Danio rerio: one gene and its partners. The main gene of each other region encodes a partner of the protein of the gene in region 2 in a complex. Links are inferred from orthologs where the notes say so. Each region holds a gene or a part of one and is shown on either strand. Other genes may lie near its edges.

Region 1 (4,149 bases), on a different chromosome or scaffold from region 2:
TAATTATTAACGTCTACCCCCACCCAACCCTAAACCCAACCATCACAGTACCCTAAAACAGTAATTATACTGAGTGTTATTCATATTATTTATTAAATTACACATTAGTTATAGTTTATTAAGGTCTACACCGACCCCAATCCTAAACCTAACCTCCACAATAATGTAAAAACAGTAACTATACTGGGTATTATTGATATTATTTATTAAATTACCCATTAATTACACTTTATTAACGTCTACCCCGACCCTAATAATAAACCCAACCATCAAAGTAATGTAAAAACAGTAATTATACAGAGTATTATTTATTAAATTACCCATTAATTATACTTTATTAACATCTACCTTGATCCCAACCATCACAGTAACCTAAAACAGTCATTATACAGAGAATTATTCATATTATTTATTAAATTACCCATTAATTATAGTTTGGTAACACTTTACAATAACAGTACATGAATAATGATGTATTCATATGTAAACTAAACATTACTTTATTATGAATTAATGATGAGTTAAGGTATGCACTAATCATGAATTAACTTTAAGTACAACATGATTCACATGAGTTCATGTGTAAATAACGGCTACCTTAATTACTTGTTAGTACATGTTGTTAATTAATGTATTAATTAACATTTAAGTTTAGGTTAAATGTAACCCACATGAACTCATGAGCTGTTATTGTATAGTTATGTCATGGCTTTACTTGGAGGGGCACATCACTATTAACTCATCCTTAACTACTCATGATCTCCTGTTGATGTTGACAGAACACTTTTCTATTGTTATTCAGTGTAAACTCACTAGTTTGACGTGCATAAGGACTTCATGAGTAGTTAAGAATCTGTTAATGATGATGTGCCCCTCCAAGTAAAGTCACAACATAATTATACATTAACATATCATGAGTTCATCATGGTTGAATTAAGCATAAACTAATGTGGTAATTAATACATTAATTAACAAACAATCATGAACTAACAAGTAATTAAGATAGCCATTATTCACACATGAACTCATGTGAATCATGTTGTAGTTAAAGTTAATTCATGATTAGTGCATACCTTAACTCATCATTAATTCATAATAAAGTAATGTTTATTTTACATATTAATACATCATTATCCATGTACTGTTATTGTAAAGTGTTACCTATAGTTTATTGACGTCTACCCCGACTTTAACCCTTAATCTAACCTCCACAGTAATGTAAAAATAATAATAGTCTCAAAAATTATGCTGTATTGATGTGCTTATCCTCAACTGTATCCCTTCTAGACTTACCCCACATGAACTGTAGGTGGCGCATGCGCATTACCGTCTGACCGCAGCCGCTCAGAAGCGAAGAAGAAGAATCCTGAAGGCTGGAGAAAATGTACAAGGTGAGAGATACAAACTTCAGCAGAGGCGCACAGTTCTCCTTCGTCACCGCAGTCCTGCTAAAACACACATAATAATCACAATCGCGCTCAATTCAGCCTTAAATACACACCTACAGAAACTTTAGTTGGTTCCATTATAAAGCGGAGCGTTTATTTTTGAGCAGGAAACACAAGGACACTGCAGAACATATTAAATTACGTTCATTATTTTACTTCTGTGATTTAAAATATGATGCTGTGTAATATTTCAGAGGTCTCTAGGCCTATAGAGTGGACTCGTTGTATATTAAAAGCGTAAATTAATGAGCGCGGTTGTATTTAATGCGATTATTGTACCGGCAGTTATTGTCAAACTCTGTTTTGGCTTTATTAAATGTGCCAGTGCCTATAATAAAAACATAGGATTGATTTAAAGTTAGTAAAACCGCTGTTATTTAAACGTTATAGTGTTTATTATTTAAATTAATTCACGTTTTTGATAACCGTTGAGTGGCGGCACGTCAGCGCTCAGGTGCGTTTTTAAAACTGAACACTAGATGGCAACAAAACACCGTGAAATCCTACAGACAACCTAAACATTGATTGATTCATTCATTTTCTTTACGGCTTAGTCCCTTTATTAATCAGGGGTCGCCACAGCGGAATGAACCGCCAACTTATCCATGTTTTATGCAGCAGATGCCCTTCCAGCTGCAACCCATCACTGGGAAAAACGCATGCACTCCCATTCACACACATACACTACAGACAGTTTAGCCTTTCCAATTCACCTATAGTGCATATGGTTGGACTGTGGGGGAAGCACCCGGATGCAAACTCCAAACATGCAAACTCCAAACACATATGCCATATGGCCAAGCCGAGGCTGGAACCAGCGACTCTCTTGCTGTGAGGCGATCGTGCTATCCACTGCGCCACCACGCCACCCCTAAATAATGATTTTTTTAACTTATAAATTCGTTAAAAATGTCAAAATTCCTTTATAAAGTATTAGAAATAGTTCTTGTCTTAGGAAAATTTTGAAAAACATTATTGATCCACCTCGAATGTTGACTATACATATATGCAAATGTATCAATAAATATATCATTATTTACACTACCTGACAAAAGTCTTGTCGTTGATTCCAGTTGTACAGTAAGAGCAACTAATAATAACTTGACTTCTAGTTGATCATTTATAAAAGTGGCATAAGGTGGATTTTCCGGATGAATTATCTGTTGAGCTGCATCCCAATCATCACTAATACTAGAGAAAGAACTACTGGAACCTGCATGGAGCCCAGCTCAAATTTGGTGAAGGAAAAGTCATGGTTTGGGTTATATTCAGTATGGGGGCGTGTGAGAGATCTGCAGAGTGGATGATCAACATCAACAGCCTGAGTTATCAAGACATTTGTGCTGCCCATCACATTACAAACCACAGTAGAGGGCAAATTCTCCAGCAGGATAGCGCTCCTCATACTTCAGCCTCCACATCAAAGCTCCTGAAAGCAAAGAAGGTCAAGGTGCTCCAGGATTGGCCAGCCCAGTCACCAGACATGAACATTATTGAGCATGTCTGGGGTAGATGAAGGAGGAGGCGTTGAAGATGAACACAAAGAGTCTTGATGAGCTCTGGGAGTCCTGCAGGAACGCTTTCTTCTTCATTCCAGATGACTTTATTAATCAGTGATTTGAGTCATGTCAGAGATGTATGGATGCAGTCCTCCAAGCTCATGATGGAGTCAGACACAATATTCATTCTGTCTCCACTGCAGCAGGACTTTATATTCTATACTGGACATTATTTCTGTTCAGTGATGAGACTTTTGTCTGAGCAAAGTCAGACCTTACTGTCCTAATGAAATCATTCATAATCAAGGCAGGATCATATTTTATTGTAGTGAAATAAGCGTCATCTAGAGGCTTTTGCTTTTCTTATGACACTTCTGATACCAAATGATCAACTATAGACGACAAGACTTTTGTCAAGTAGAGGATAAATAGTCAACATTCGAATTGGATCCAAAATGTTGTGCATCATCTGTTTGTATTGTTTTCAGAATTTTAGACGTTTATATCATTTAACATTTAATTTTTATAATAGTATATGCTCTTCTTTTGTGTTTAGCTTGTTTACATTTTGTAGTTTTAATTGTAATACTTCAACTTTTATTATTGTTGTTGTTATTTATTATTACTATTGTTATTATTATTATTTTGTTGCCATGGCAACATTTCAATTTTAACATTTATCTACGATTTTTTTATTATTTTAGCAAAATAATTAGTAGTTACTTTTTTATTTTTAATAGTTTCATAAAATTATTTTTTAAAACGTTCATGATTATTATTATTATTACTGTATTTGCCTTTTATTTGAAAAAAAAATATAAAATTATTTTCAAAACTTTATTATTATTATTATTGTTGTTGTTGTATTTCCTTTTTATTTTTAATACTTTCCTAAAATATATATTTAAACTTCCATTATTATCATCATCATTATTATTGTTTTTTAATAATTTAATAAAATATTTTTTAAACTTTCATTATTATTATTATTGTTGTATTTCCTTTTTTATTTTAATAATTTCCTAAAATATATATATTAACTTTCATTATCATTCTTGTTTTTTTATAATTTCACACAATATATTTTTTTATTTCATTATTATTATTATTATTATTATTATTATCATTACTTTTGCATTTACTTTTTATTTTTAATAATTTTATAAATTTGTAAAAGTTTCATTATTATTATTATTGTTATT
Region 2 (3,568 bases):
GTTAAACCCAGCAGAAAATAGTCTAGCTACATTTGACATTTAATGTCATAAAATGTTATCACAGTGCTCTCTAAAACACTTGATTCTGATTGGTCAGTAACAACATTCCAAGGTATGTTATTCCCAGACAACAACCATTAACACTAATAACGAATTCTCAATCTGGTACTTTGAATCATCTTGACCGCCAGTGAATACATTTAGATCCAGATTTATATATATTGTCTGTCATTTTGCTGTTTTTGACTAGATGGTTCGGGGCTGAATAATACATAGGTTAGTTTGTGCTACAGATATATTTTTTTTTCTGTCAGCTTTGCATTTAATTGATAAATAATAAACTATTACACATCAGAACAATATTTTGTGTCTAATTTTTTTAATTTTGTGGCAAGTAGCCCTGTAAAAGCAGGATAAAGTACATTCAGGTGGTTGTATAAACCATTCAGGCTTATAAAACAGCCTTCTGCTTCACTTCAGGCAGCTTATTCTGCAATAACAATTAGCAGACACCATTTGTAAATGCTTCAAATGACTGTGTGAGTGTGTTCACCTCTGAGTCCATGGCTTCTCTGAGTTTGTCTGTGTGAGCAGCGATGGCGGTCAGCGCAGCCTCCTGAGCTCCGATGGCCTGCAGGGTGACTTTAGCTGAGCTGCCGAGAGTTTCTTCCAGTCCAGCAGTGAGAGCTGAGAAACACACCAACACTCACTTATATCAATATACTCTACCATTCAGGTTTAGGTTTGTTATTTTTTTTGAAGCCAAAACCTTTATACTTTAACATGCATTAATCGGTTTAAAATTGACAGAAAAGACTGTATATATCTATATTTCATTACAAAACAATTATTTACCAAATTAGAACCGTTTAATTTAATTACTTGTTAAAAGATTAGTTAACCCATAAATGAAAAGTCAGGTATTTTTCACAACATCATGTTGTTTCAATCCACCCCTAAGACCATTCTTCATATTCAAAGCAAAAACTGCAATATTTTAGATGAAATCCAAGACAGTACAAACAGAGTTGAACCACTGAAGTCAGATGGAATGTCCAATTCAACTTATTCTTTATGTATTAGCGGGCGCAGCCATTTGAAATTTTTGGCTTGTGAATTCCGATCTCATTCACTTCCATTCATATTTAGATGTTAAACACAGCTCGTTATGCTGCTTGATGTTGCAAACTGATATTGTCCTATTATATTATTCTGCTTTGTCTGTATAATCATGCAAACACCTGTTTTTTATTCTTAGTCATTTCTCCCATAGGCAACTGAATCTGAAGTTTTAAAAGTAAGGTCAATACGATTTTCACACAAAAAAAATGTATACAGCAAAAATTCATTGTTATTAATCTCATCAAAATAAAAGTTTATTATGACAATTTGTGTGTGTATGATGTTTATTCACTATGTATTTATAAATACACACATGCATGCACATGAGAAAATTTTCATTTAGTCTTTATATACATCTTATTGACCTTATTCTCCGCAGACGAGCGGGCGCTGCCATTTGAATCTTTTTGGCACGAGACTTCCGGTCTTATTCACTTCCATTCATTTTTAGACATTAAAAACTGCTTGTTTCGCTGTTTGATGTTGCAAACTGATATTTCCTTGTTAAATTATTCTACTTGGTCTGTATAGTCATGCAAACATTTGTTTGTAGAGCAAGTAGTTTGACCGTTTTTTGCCGTTTATTATTCCTTGTCATTTCTCCCATAGGCGACTGAAACGGAAGTTCTAAGACAATCACGAAAACAGGCGCACTTCCGCATTTTAGAATAAGGTCAATACACATCTTATGTCCAAACAAACATTTATTTTGAATGCGATTAATCACTAGTAATTTTTGCCCAGCACTAAAATAAATAAAAAATAGAGACTCATGCATGTGTCAGTGTGTAATTTGTGAGGATATTGACCTGCCAGCGCATCCAGCTCAGCTTTATCCTGTTGAGCCAGTCTAGCGGTCACTTCCTCCGCTGGCCTTTCCTTCACAGCCGGTTCAGGTTCAGTGCATTCCTTACAACACTCTTCAGCTACACACACAGACGAAAACAAAGCACAAAGAGTCACTCCAGCACATTGGTAATCATCACATTTTCTTTGAGCTTTGCAGTACACCATATGAGATGGGGGGGAAATGATAAAACTGGGTGATGTTAAACAATGTAGATGAAACTATTTAGTGTCTTCATCATGCATGCAATAAAGACATAAAACATGAATATAGTCAAATGATCTGTGAACAAATGGCTCAAATAATCAGATTTTTAAAAATAAATCAGCAAAAAAAGGGAAAAATAAACTCATGACATAAAGCAGACCCCCTACTTTTTCATTATTTTTTTGTAAAATTTTCTGCTCTAAATTTTTTGATTTTGTGGTGGTGATTCACAGAAATTTGTGGACAATTTTGCAAGTAAAAAAATATATACAAGTATAAAAAATGGTATCCATATTATTTACCATATTAGGTAGCCTACTATGTTAAGTGTGCTATATGACACAAATCATAAAAATAAAGCTTCTTTTTTGGTCTCTTGTCAAGACAAGATCTAAAACAGTAAGGATTAAGCCAAACAAAGGTTGCATAACTCTTATTTTTATCCACAATCTTACTTTTTCTCAGATTCCACTCCCTGGAGCATTTGACATCATGTACCTCACTCAGGACATGCATTATTATATCTTCCCCTACCGTAATACACCTAAAACACGGATTGCCATAAAACTAGTCAATGGCAAAAAATCGTTTTCGTTAACCTCCATCATTGTAAGCTGCTTGCTTGTAGGCATGAGCCGGTATAAATTTCTGACAGTATGATAACCTTGGATAAAAATATCACGGTTTCACGGTATCAATGTATTGTGATTTCTGCTCTAAAATAAGATCTTTTAAATGTCGGGGTAAAGAAAAAAAAACTTTTTTCCCCCTACTGAACACAATATATTTTATTTTAAGAAACATTTCAAATATTTTAGACCAGTATATTTTGATGTAGAGTTTATTTGATGTAGAGTTTTATTGATGTAGATGTTTTTCTGCTGGAGAAAAAAAACTTAATTGAAATAGTTGTGAAAAACATGTTTAAAAAGACCTTACATATACCATGGGAATAACGGATAACTTTCGTGATTTTAAAACCTTGACTTTTTGAAACTTGACTTATCTTCCCATGCCTACTTGCTTGTCTGTCTGTTCCACTGCTCCGTTTGTTAGATGTTTGCTCCAATTTTTTGCAGTCTGAAGCCCGTCAAATGCACAAAAAAGCCAATTCGCACCACAGAATGTCAAATGCCATCTTTGTATTGACTTCACATGTAAATCGCTCGCGCTTCATCTGCGCTGTTTACTGCACAGGTTGCAAAACATTTCCCCTCACTCTCATGTAATGTTAGGACTGTAAGGGTGCAGGTGAAATGTCATTTTTCGAAAGACACTAAAATACATTACATGCGCTGCGTATGCAATGTCTATAAATCATGTAAAACAATCAATTGCAAACTAAAATAAATATAATTTGATTATATGTTTTGGAATTAGATGTTTTATCAG
Region 3 (4,052 bases), on a different chromosome or scaffold from region 2:
AAAATAATTTTAAGAGAAAAAAAGTACTTTAAGAAATAATGTGAACACGTAATGTTAACACGTAGATAAATACATTTATTACACTCTCAGAAATAAAGGTATGCATGCTGTCACTGGGGTGGTACCTTTTCAAAAGGTACAGATTCTAACTTAAAGGCTCCATATTGGTACCTAAAAAGATTATATTATATTAGGAACACTTTTGTACTTTTTAGTAATGTGTACCCTTAAGGTATTAATATATACATTTAAGCACAAATTTGTACCTTTTGAAAAGGTACCACCCCAGTGACAGCCTTTGGAGGCCTACCTTCTGAGAGTGTAGATAGGCTATATTAGTTTTTTGGGTCCACAAATCTTTCCACAAGCTTTCCCACCACTTTGTAGCATAGACTACTTTCTAAATAGCTGTAAAGACATATCACTTATCAATTTACAGACAATAGAATACATTTTACAGCACGTAGATAAACATAAAGGCTGTTAAACTCACCCTCATTAAATGATGGAGCACTCCATCGGACCGCAATGAACGCGACGCATATGCTGCAAAGCAGTAATTTGGCATAAAGCTTCATTTGAAGGAATATGGCAAATCTGTGCACAGCTTACAAAATGCACAACTTTGTAAAGTCAGCAGTCGACACCAAGAGAACAGGCAGAACAGGTTTTTAAATCTAAGTTCAGACAGGCGGAGCTAGTGCCAAAGTACAATCCGGCTTTAGATAACTTGGCAGCTAGCACTTAATGCATTTTGTAACTTCTGTTAATATTGTGTTGTAATAATCAGTCATTCTTGTTTTATTTGCATTATAACGTTAATATTGTGGTTGGGTTTATAAATTCGGAACGACCTGACAGACTATGAAATACAAACCGAAAGTAAGGATAAAAACATAATTATTATTCACTTAGGCTTACTTTTTACTTTTTTAAACTTACTTTTATTATCGTTGGCGACTCTGCTAAAGATTCTTTTTTAATTAATATTACACATACAATCTAAAAAAACGTGATTTTAAAATTAGTCAATCGATCTGAGCCACAGGAAAAACGTGGCGGCACTTTCACCAAATATATAAAACCGAATTGTCTTTTAAAGTAACACCCTTCTACTTTTAATGCTTATATATATAGAATATTCATATGTTCAAAAATACTCAAACATATAATTATTACGTTTTATATGTTCGTCGTTCGTTTTGTCGAATGTGCAGATCTACAGCTGGATTCAAAACGAACTTTATTGCTACCATTTCGGTTTGCTAGAGCAAATGCCCTTGTCGGTGAAACTCGCTGACAAAATAGTAAAACAAAGCATCCTGTGAAGTGTTTTGATACGAAATATTGTTCTTTAGAGCATAATTTTGCTTTTAAAATATGGCTGCTAAGATTTTCCCTGTCGTCAAGTAAGTGTTTATGTGTTGTTTTTGTATCTGAAGCTGGTTGCTAACTAAGTTAGCACACAAGTGTCTGTTTGGGTTTAAGTGTTTTTTTTATACTTTATACATTATTATACTTTATATAATTATATTATATATATATATCTGTATTTACATTAAAATTAAATTACCTCGTATTTTAGTTGCTATTTTTACCTATAATGTCGTTTAAATATAGCTAGCATGCTAATTACTCAATTCAGCAATAACTTTGACAGTAAAAATGTTAAATCCTGTTTTGTATTAGAGTTAATCATATATATTTTAAGTAATCATCATATATTTGGGGTCATAATAACCTGAGAAGCTTGTAAACATGCTCTCTTTCCTTCAGCTTTAACGTACTTTGAATGGCTGTATTTGTGATGAAGGTAAAGTTGTTTCCAGTCAAATAAATAGTGCTAATGTTGTTTTCGAGTCATACTTGCATATGATTTCAGACAGAACCTTCAAAATAATAGAGGTAAAGTTGGTTTTATATTTAGACATTCTCCTCGATAATATAATTATCTTTGCAAATTTTAAATGGGGAAATCATACTAGCAGAATTAGGATATCTTGCGTCCAAAAAAAAAAAAAAAAGTTAAGAAAACGGCCGTTTTTCGGTGTTTCTTTTGATTACAAAAAAACATGATTTTAATAATAACTTTTAATCATTTTATATATATATATATATATATATATATATATATATATATATATATATATGTATATGTATGTGTGTGTGTGTATATAAATAATAACTATACTATTTATATAATTACAAAGTTTACATATTCTGTCATTTGATCAGTTATGAGGCTTACATTCATTGCGTATGCATAAATTAAATAAAAACGTAAATTAGCAGTATTATTAGACTTTTGTCAATAAAATAAGGTCATAGTTCGCTGCCAAACATTGTTGCTGTGCACGCTGTCAAGCTGTGCACCTGATGCTGAGCAAAGATAGCCATTTCCGAGTAGCACCTGGTTTGCATGATTGTTTCCGAGCAAGGCCTTGACAGTAATAATAATAATAATGTTATTATTAATAATAATTTATGTTTATAGTTCACTGCCAAACTTATTGCTGCTGTACACCTGATGCTGAGCAAAGATATACATCTGTGAGCAGCACCTGGTTTCCATGATTGTTTCAGAGCTACTGTAGGCTTAAATAATATAATTATTATTGTTATTATTAATAATAATCATTTTAGCACGTGATGCCCACAGAGAGCACTATGCCAAATTAAGTTCTGTTTAACCTATTTCTGCTTAAATTGTAGAAAATCTTTAAAACGACATGACTAATCAAGACTTTTATTTGGAGAATTACACTTATTAATAACTTGGTTCTTATAAACGATCATTTTATAAAATACATTATTTACAGATCTACTGAAGAATAAGACGAATGACATCAATAACTATAATATATTAAGATTTTATATAAACTATAAATAAGAACATTTAAAGTAATAGAACATTATCTGTAAAACAAATCTAAACTGTTATATAGGCTACAGGCTAAATAAAGGCACCTTGTCAGAGATTTACATCGTGTGCGTTAAAGAGGCAATGAATGTAAGCCTGATAACTGATCAAATGACAGAATATGTAAACTTAGTTTATATAATTATATACATATAACTAAATATTAATAATTCAAAGCCTGGGTATTGTCCTCAGAGGGCTCTTATTTTGGGGGCTACGTCACAAGCTCAGATTTGGTTGACCAATCAGAGGAAAATGGACATTTTAGCACCGCCTACATGAGAATAATGAATTTTAATTGTTTTTTTTTTTTTTTAGTTAAAAAATGGATATGGATTTAATTTAGCAGCCAATGATTATCAAAGTACAGCATTGTTTACAGTAAATTTGATGGTGCTAATGTTGTTTTGAAGTCATACTTCCATGCTAATTCTGACCTAATATTCAAATTAGCATGGAAAGCAATAGAAACAGTTAAATAAAGGAATGTGCAAATATAAAACCAACTTTACCTCATTGTATTTGTGTTTCTTTATGTTTTAGGTTTGCAACAAAAGTGACCATTGCGGGAGGAGCCCTGTATGTGGCATATGATTCAGGACTTCTTGGAGGTAGTAATGAGGGATCTGTGGCCTTGGCCCGAGCTAAATCAGCCATACCACCTGCTGTGGATGAGTGGATGAAGTACTTTGGCTTCGAGGTATGAAAAGAAATGAAACTAAGTGTATGATTGATAACGAAAGTAGAACTTGACTTTTTGATGAAGTGTAAGGCTACAGTATATGGCAGATGGCAGCACTGACATTATTGAATAAAAAGAGAGATAGCGGGGAAGTCTTTTGGGTAATTAAATAGTCTTGATGCACAGAAGACTGTTTACATATGGTATTAAAATGCATCGCAACACCTTCACACAAAACTCACGATTTCAGATTTTAAAAAAAGAGCATTTCATAAACTAAGGATGAAACATTTACACACAAATGAATCACAGTTTCATGGTTTTCATTGTTGACGCGCTAGACTCAGATGGAGGGCAGGAAGTGATTCTCCTACATAGGAATCGCTATCAGAACATCAATTGTTCTGCAAACAAATGTTTGCATATGTATGTAGACTGTATATATCAAGT

What was found. The genes of interacting proteins can lie anywhere in the genome.
Region 1: immt (region 2) and apooa share a complex: the UniProt entries of both Homo sapiens proteins name them as parts of the mitochondrial contact site and cristae organizing system (MICOS) complex. The link is inferred for Danio rerio from reciprocal best matches to the Homo sapiens genes IMMT and APOO.
Region 3: immt (region 2) and micos13 share a complex: the UniProt entries of both Homo sapiens proteins name them as parts of the mitochondrial contact site and cristae organizing system (MICOS) complex. The link is inferred for Danio rerio from reciprocal best matches to the Homo sapiens genes IMMT and MICOS13.

The regions. Positions count from the first base shown.
Region 1 is NC_133180.1:4,984,476-4,988,624, reverse strand, and holds the start of apooa (apolipoprotein O, a), read left to right. Parts: upstream 1-1,330; 5' UTR 1,331-1,382; coding exon 1,383-1,391; exon of another isoform or gene 1,392-1,445; intron 1,446-2,493; exon of another isoform or gene 2,494-2,688; intron 2,689-4,149. UniProt on the Homo sapiens protein: Component of the MICOS complex, a large protein complex of the mitochondrial inner membrane that plays crucial roles in the maintenance of crista junctions, inner membrane architecture, and formation of contact sites to the outer membrane.
Region 2 is NC_133189.1:18,404,877-18,408,444, reverse strand, and holds part of immt (MICOS complex subunit MIC60), read right to left. Parts: intron 2,049-3,568; coding exon 1,932-2,048; intron 688-1,931; coding exon 554-687; intron 1-553. UniProt on the Homo sapiens protein: Component of the MICOS complex, a large protein complex of the mitochondrial inner membrane that plays crucial roles in the maintenance of crista junctions, inner membrane architecture, and formation of contact sites to the outer membrane.
Region 3 is NC_133197.1:19,398,459-19,402,510, reverse strand, and holds the start of micos13 (MICOS complex subunit MIC13), read left to right. Parts: upstream 1-1,233; 5' UTR 1,234-1,380; coding exon 1,381-1,409; intron 1,410-3,463; coding exon 3,464-3,620; intron 3,621-4,052. Other genes in the region: hsd11b1la (hydroxysteroid 11-beta-dehydrogenase 1-like protein precursor), read right to left, coding at 494-578. UniProt on the Homo sapiens protein: Component of the MICOS complex, a large protein complex of the mitochondrial inner membrane that plays crucial roles in the maintenance of crista junctions, inner membrane architecture, and formation of contact sites to the outer membrane.